Oryctolagus cuniculus: one gene and its partner. The main gene of each other region encodes a partner of the protein of the gene in region 2 in a complex. Links are inferred from orthologs where the notes say so. Each region holds a gene or a part of one and is shown on either strand. Other genes may lie near its edges.

Region 1 (3,746 bases), on a different chromosome or scaffold from region 2:
AGCTACTATGTCCAGGCATTAATAAAGCATGTGCTTTCTGCGTAAGTAGTCTGAACCTAGGATAGCTACCCTGTGATCACTGATAATCACTTTACTGCAACATGATGGCAACAGCTTCCAAAAAACCTTGTCCGAAAGCAGTGGAAGGTGGACCAACTGCTTAGGCCCCTGCACCCGTGTTGGAGACTGGGAAGGAGCTCCTGGCTTTGGATCGGGGCAGCTCTGACCGTTGCAGCCATTTGGGGAGTGAACCAATGGAAGGAAGACCTCTCTCTGTGTCTTTTTCTGTCTGTAACTCTACCTCTCAAATAAATAAAATCTTTAAAAAAAAAAATAGACCTTGTCCGAGGTTATGTAAAACATCCTAAGGTCAAACTTAACAGAGGCACAAATCTAACAAGCCATCCCTGCATTATAAGATAATTGCATTTTATTAAACCCAATGTAATTACTCATTACTCTTACCTTTGTAGTCAGATAGGCTGATGTCTTTGAACTGACCATCTGGCATAACAGCTGTGGCTTTGAAGTTGGGGGCTGGGTGCCCAATTTTAGCATTTCCTGAAGACATTTTGCTATCAATTTGAATAACAGAAAGTTATAAGCAAGCCTTCACCTACTTAAGAGACTTAGTTGTACATCAATCAAGGAACTGTCCAATAGCCCTGAGTAAATTTTACACTACTAAGATGCACAGGCCAGCAATCAAGGGTGAAAAACTGAAATTTCCAACTTTTAGAACAAAAAACAAGTGTCAATCTGAACCTTTGTTTAATCTGAAAACAGCATGGCAGTTATTTTACCACACCAAGGTCAACTCTGTTTCAGAACTATTTGTGCAAGTGCATTTTGCTCTGTATATTCACTTTACAGAGAGGGAGGGAGATGGAGTTTCAAACTAGAACCCAAATGTAAAGTGGCACAAGGACTGAACGCCTGTCTCCCAAAAACAGTCGGCTTTGTGCCTCCAGCTGCCTTTACAATGTGGGAAGCACACTGACCTTTTTCCAGGTTAAGTCTGTCCAAGACAGCACACAAATGAAAAGCCAACCCAACTTTAGGTGTTGCCCTACAAGTCCTTTCAAAATAAGTTTCTCACTTCCCAGCCAAGATCCTGGGGGTAAAAGCAAGAACAAGAGGCAATTTACTGCTAAAAAGCAACAAACACTGCCCTGGATTCACACCAAGACAAGGAGTTGAGATTTAACTAAGTCATCCGCCTGAAAACTCAAGCAGCTAATTTTCCAAGTCCCACAGTTTCTGGAGTTTGTTACCAAAACCAAAGGAAACGTTAAGTATTGCACCTGGAAAACACTGTACGCTTTTTTTTTTTTTTAAAGATATCTTTTAACATCTTTCACCAGAAAAAAAATAGCATGCTGAAACTTGGTGATCAACTATAGGGTGTGATCCTAAAATGGGCCTTCTTGCCCAAACCTGCTTTTTCGGACGCCCCCCACGTTCAAAGCCCAAGTAACCTGCACAACAGGCTGCTGGACTTAAAGGATCTGATGTGCCCGAGATCGCGGCGACGCCCAGGCTCAGCACTGCCACTTCAGGTGCTCGGCGGCCACTCCCGCCATCAGCTCCGCCCCATCCCCGCGGACAGAGTGCGCAGTCTTCAGCGAGGGCACCGGAATCAGCACGAACTCCATTCCGCAAACGAGAAAATGCCGGAGAGGAGACCTTCCTAGCAGGGCCGGGCACAGCCCTCACCCCATCGCACAGTGGCCTAGGCACACGCTGTCTCCTACAGCCACAGGTCAGGATGCACGTACTTGACCGAAGCTTCCCGAACCGCCCCGCCTGAAGGACAGCTGTCGGAGACCCCCCACCCCCACGAACGCCCTCCGCCTGGGGTGTGGGAGGAGGTGCAGGGTATCTACGCTAACCCGGGGCTCAGCCACGTCCCGCGCCCACGAGGGCCTCACGTGGGCGGGCGCACGGCCCGGGAGCCTCACAGCACCCCCACGCGAGCACGGGCAGGGCCCAAGAGTTGGTAAAGTCCAGCAGGTGTGTTACGGGGCGCTGCACCTAGCTCCTCCAGACCGCGAGGCCCACGCACTCACCAGTTCCAACACAGAAGTCTGAGAGACACAGAGAATCGTCGAGAGCCAGGAAGACGAAGCCCGCAGTCCGCGCGGGGCGCTGCTTTTATAACTTGTAGCGTTCTCGCGAGAGTCGGAGCGGGCCGGGGGGTGTGGGAGGAGCGGAGAGGAGGGGGATCCGGGCCGAGCCCGCCCCGCCCATCGCGCTCCGCGGGAATGACTCAGCGTTTTCCCGAGTTGCGGTGGGCAAAGGCTCAAAAGGTGGAGCCCACCGCCCTGCCTCCGTGGCTGCGGTCGGAGAGCGAGGGTTCCTCTTGACCGTCCCCAAACTCAACGCTTCCTTTATGAAAGAGACCGAGATGCCCCACTTCCAGGACCCCTGTGCTCTGTACCCTCAAGTTCCAAACCGGGTTGAGGACCCTCGCTGCTGCGCGCGGAGGACCCGTCTAACTACAGCCAGCCCTAAGAGCTGTCTTTCCAAGCAGTTCTCAAGTCTGCCTAGGTCCCCACAGCCTTTGCCCTCGGCCCTTAGACCCTTAAATTGTTCTCTTAAGGGTTCCTTGTTCCGGTGGTCCCTCCCACAGCTGCTGAAGGGAATATTTCTGAAAGCAGATGATGTGATTCCTCAAATTTGTAGATTAAAAGCTGGAGCTCTGTAGACAATGTCTTGGGGTAAAATGCCTCGCTATCGTTTTATATGTAACCTTAGGCGGTGTCAACGCTGTTGAGCCTTAATTTTCTTCACCTGTAAAATGGGAACATTAACACTTAATTGAGCTCTCCCTATAAGCAGCCTCGGGTGTTTTGGGAAAATGGTTGCTATTCTTTAGACCAGGAAAACCTCGCAAACTCATGCAAATCAAGAGGTTTGAACTGTCTTTGTTCATTTTAAGAACATCTGTAAAACTGCTCGGAAGACAGAAATTAGCCTCTGGGTGCGGAAGGGGCCTAAGGAAAACAAAGCACCTGCAGGAGGAATGTGGAAAGGAATGTAGCAGCCCCGTCAGCCTGGAAGTAGCCCATAGTTTTCCACTACAAAGTCCTTCCCGCACCCCATTACTTTATAGGTGGTCCCAGCCTTCTCCCCAAGGAAAGCACACCCAGGAGAATTCAGTCTGCTAACATCATTGGGTAATAAGACCTAGAGAGAAATTTTACCTACTTCACACCCAGCAAACCCTCTGTCCAGGGGAAGGGGGGGGGGGACCCAGACCCCAGACCCTTACACGCCCACGTCTAAATGCGCAGGACACTCAGCTCTCAGTTCTTTGCTGAGATGCCCGCCTGGTCTGTCAGGTTTTCTCTTCATTTGCCTTGTTACCTGGCTCGCCCCAGTCAGTGACGGCACACTCAGATCCACTGGAGAGGTGCCCACCGCTCTGACGGATGCCCTACCTCATTCAACCTTGCTACCTTGCTTACTGCTACTATCTCAAGTCTGAAACTCTTGTCTTGCATAAAGACAAGAACCCCTGAGCAGCTATCTCTGCTAACAAAACTACCCAGGTCATCAAGGCTATGTGCATATCTGAAAAGTCAGCAGGTATCTAAACAATACCACATTAAAAAGTAGGGTGTGCCATTGTGTACTTACAATGGTGGAATGGGTAGGAGTGCCCAGGCCAAACAGTGGGGTTTGACACAGGATCAGTAGCCAAAAAGGTGCTGAATTGCTGAATTTTTGTTGCACATGCTTAA
Region 2 (3,646 bases):
GGGTCTTCTGTGCCCCAATCCTGCTGAAGCCACTGCTGCCTGTGGGCCTGGCCTCACGTTTGCTGTGGATCCCGTGCCCCGTTGGCCCAGCCCCACAACTCTCCCCCAGAAGCCAAGGACAGGGTCACACAGTGCTCCTCTGGGCAAACGGAGGTCCTGCTTCAGCGGCTGAACGCACACTGCTGGCCTGTAGACCATGGTCTGAGCAGCAGGGGCAGGAAAGCCGGGGCAAGGGCGGGTCTCCCAGGTCACCAGAGGCGGCTGCTAAGTGCAGCATCCCGTGCGGGTGAGTCAGGTGTGCGGCAGGGAGGCGAGGGGGCAGGAGCCAGCGACTGTGTTGGAAGAGCAGTTTTAAAGTCTGTTCCCCTCCCCCCATGAGGCTGGGGGTCCCTCACCGTGGATTTCCAGAAGGTTCTTGGTGCCAGCCTTGCGGTGCAGCTCGTCGATGTTCTGGGTGATGACCATGACGCGGCGGCCCTGGCCGTGCAGCCGGGCCTCACACTCGGCGATGGCCAGGTGCCCAGGGTTGGGCTCCTTGCTCTGCATCACCTCCCGCCGGTAGTGGTAGAACTCCCACACCCGGGAGGGGTTGCGGGCAAAGGCCTCAGGGGTGGCCAGGTCCTGGGTGGGAGAGGGGCAGGGTCAGGGACTGAGGAGGGAGGGGGCGGCACCCAGGCCCTTCTTTTTTTTTGGACAGGCAGAGTTAGACAGTGAGTAAGAGAGAGAAAGAGAGACAGAGAGAGACAGAGAGAAAGGCCTTCCTTCTGTTGGTTCACCCCCCAAATGGCCGCTATGGCCGGCGTGCTGCGCCCATCTGAAGCCAGGAGCCAGAGCTTCTTCCTGGTCTCCCATGGGGTACAGGGCCCAAGCACCTGGGCCATCCTCCACTGCACTCCCGGGCCCCAGCAGAGAGCTGGCCTGGAAGAGGGGCAACCGGGACAGAATCCAGCACCCCAACTGGGACTAGAATCCGGGGTGCCAGCGCCGCAGGCAGAGGATTAGCCTAGTGAGCCATGGTGCTGGCCAGCCCAGGCCCTTCTGAGCCGAGGCTGGTGGCCATAGGGGCACAGGCTGGGCCGTGTCTGCCTGAGAGGAGGACTGGGTGGCGGATGCCAGGCAGGGGCCTGGGTCCCCTAGCTGTTGGGCTGACCCAGCACCCTGGAGAGACTGGGCTTGATTGCCCCGGTGATGGGCAGGAATAATGCACCTGTCCCACTTACACAGGTAAGTTATGCAAGGAAGTGAAGTCTGATGCAGGTAGGTATTTTTTCGTTGAAAGCCAGCATATATAAATCCATTTTTTCCCTGAGCCCCACCATATACAAAGTAAATCTAATTTTGAGATACACCCAGGAAAAATATGAACTACAAAATGCCCAATTGTGGTATAATGGCTGTAATTGAGAAAGTCAGCTTTTATAATGGTAACGAGAGTGAAACACACATACACACACATAACTACACACATCCACATACACGTAACATACATACAACTACACAGACACAACTATACAACCACATCTGCACAACTACACACATATTACATACCTATAATATACACACACAACTACATATACAACATACACACAAAACCACAACACAACTGCACACTACATACAACCACATATACTCACACCACATATACAACTATACACATACGACCACATACATACACATTTATACACATGACGTGCACAACTACCCACAACCACATAAATACAACTATACACACAAAATCAGACATACAACTATGCACACAACCACATACACAATTGCACACACGACATAGACATGCCTACATATGACCATATCACATAACCACACACACAAAACTACATATAATCGTTCACACAACCATATACACAGGGTATACATATACACAACTATCCATACAAACAGGCACCTCAAGTCTGTGGAAATTGGAACAAAAAGGTAAGTTGACTGGGCGGGCGATTCATGCAGTGGTTGCGATGCCCGCATCCTGCACTGGAGCACCTGGGTCCCAGTCCCTGTCCACTCTCAATTCAGCTTCCTGCTCACACACAGCCTGGGACGCAGCAGTGACGGCTCAGGTGGCTGGGTCCCTGCCACGCATAGGGGAGACTCCGAGTCCCTGGTTCCTGGCTTCCCCCGGCCCAGCCCCAACTGTTGCGGGCATCTGAGGAGTGAGCCAGCAGATGCAAGAGCTCTGTCTCTTTCCCTTCCAAATAAATAAAACCAATAAACTCAACATTTTTTAAAGATAAGCTTATTGGGGTGCACAAAATTCAGAAAAACTATGCATGGGCATAAGTTTTTTCACATGGCCCTTTGGAAGTCCCTTGTAGACACACAACGCACGTATGAAAAAAGGTATATGCACTGCAGTAACAGAAGTATACAGACTATACTAGAGCGCGCGTCTCCCTGCAGCAGACACCAGCCCCTGCTCCACTGCAAGAGTGCAGCCACGCTTGTCCAGGCTGGAGGCAGAGGGCGTGGGAACAAGAGGCTATCCAGTGGTGACCCTCAGGTGCACACACCGTCAGACTCATCACCCTGCACACCCACGGTGCATGTGTGCCTTTCATTCTAAGCCAATCCCAGCTCACCGTGGGAATGTAAGGAAGGACCAGTGGCCACACGGAGCTGGCGTGACCTGACCGTCATGGCCCCTCCACGGTGGCGACCTCAGTCAGGCCCTTCCTTTGGGATGGCAGTGTCGCTGCTGTGGGTGACTGCCTCAGCCCTGTGCTCCCCTCCCGCCCTGCTTGTCACTGGGACCCAAGTGGCCTGGAGCAGTTGACGGGCGGCACGTGAAGGTGTATGTGGTGGCAAACCTGTCCTACTGACTCCCTGGCTCACACACAGCCGTGGGCCACCTCTGACACCACAGCATCCTGCAGCCCTCCCAGCTTCTCCCTGCTGGCCTCTGATCGCCCCTCCCCCCACCGCTGCTTCTCCCCATCCCCGTTCCTCGGGGCCCTTTGGACTGCTTTTCTTCTTTCTCCGCTGCTTCACCTTTGAGAGATCTCCACATCACCAGGCGACGCTTTGCAGGCCTCACCTGGACGGCAGCAGGGAGGGGACCGAACATCCCAGACACCTGCCAGCCTGGGACACCTGGCACAGGAAGGGAGGGGCGCGTCCAAGACATCACCTGCTCAATCTGGAGGTCACGCCTTGGGCTAATTACTCATGACTGTCTCCGCTCAGCCAACAAATGTCTACCGAGCTCCTCCCCTGGGCTGAAGTTCTGGACGCTGGGGACAGGGCAATGCACAGGACGACACTCCCGGCCCTCCAAAGCTGGGCACTGCCCAATCCAGGGGGATGAGAGAGGACACACTGCAGAGGGCCGTGATGGAATACTCTGGAATCTAGAAGGACAGACATGTTCCAGGTCATCCATTTGTTAAAACTCACTAAACCGTATGTTGGAAAACTGGTGAATTTTACTATGTGTGTGTTATGTCTCAATCAAGACTGGACTTTTTTTTTTTTTTTTTTTTTTGACAGGCAGAGTGGACAGTGAGAGAGAGAGAGACAGAGAGAAAGGTCTTCTTTTTTGCCGTTGGTTCACCCTCCAATGGCCGGCGCGGCTGGCGCGCTGTGGCCAGCACATTGCGCTGATCCGAAGCCAGGAGCCAGGTGCTTCTTCTGGTCT

Evidence for each region. Proteins that work in one complex are often made in the same cells at the same time.
Region 1: the proteins of SIRT5 (region 2) and PRDX1 are in contact, whole or in part, in a crystal structure (PDB 8Z54), measured with the Homo sapiens proteins. The link is inferred for Oryctolagus cuniculus from reciprocal best matches to the Homo sapiens genes SIRT5 and PRDX1. Residues at the interface, in NP_001363727.1 of Homo sapiens: Ala86, Tyr102, Arg105, Gln140, Ile142, His158, Val220, Val221, Trp222, Phe223, Gly224, Glu225, Asn226, Leu227, Leu232, Val253, Val254, Tyr255, Pro256; in NP_001189360.1 of Homo sapiens: Phe195, Ser196, Lys197, Gln198.

Annotation. Positions count from the first base shown.
Region 1 is NC_091438.1:127,368,888-127,372,633, reverse strand, and holds the start of PRDX1 (peroxiredoxin-1), read right to left. Parts: upstream 2,561-3,746; 5' UTR 2,070-2,560; intron 576-2,069; 5' UTR 572-575; coding exon 466-571; intron 1-465. UniProt on the Homo sapiens protein: Thiol-specific peroxidase that catalyzes the reduction of hydrogen peroxide and organic hydroperoxides to water and alcohols, respectively.
Region 2 is NC_091436.1:157,046,498-157,050,143, forward strand, and holds part of SIRT5 (NAD-dependent protein deacylase sirtuin-5, mitochondrial), read right to left. Parts: intron 622-3,646; coding exon 396-621; intron 1-395. UniProt on the Homo sapiens protein: NAD-dependent lysine demalonylase, desuccinylase and deglutarylase that specifically removes malonyl, succinyl and glutaryl groups on target proteins.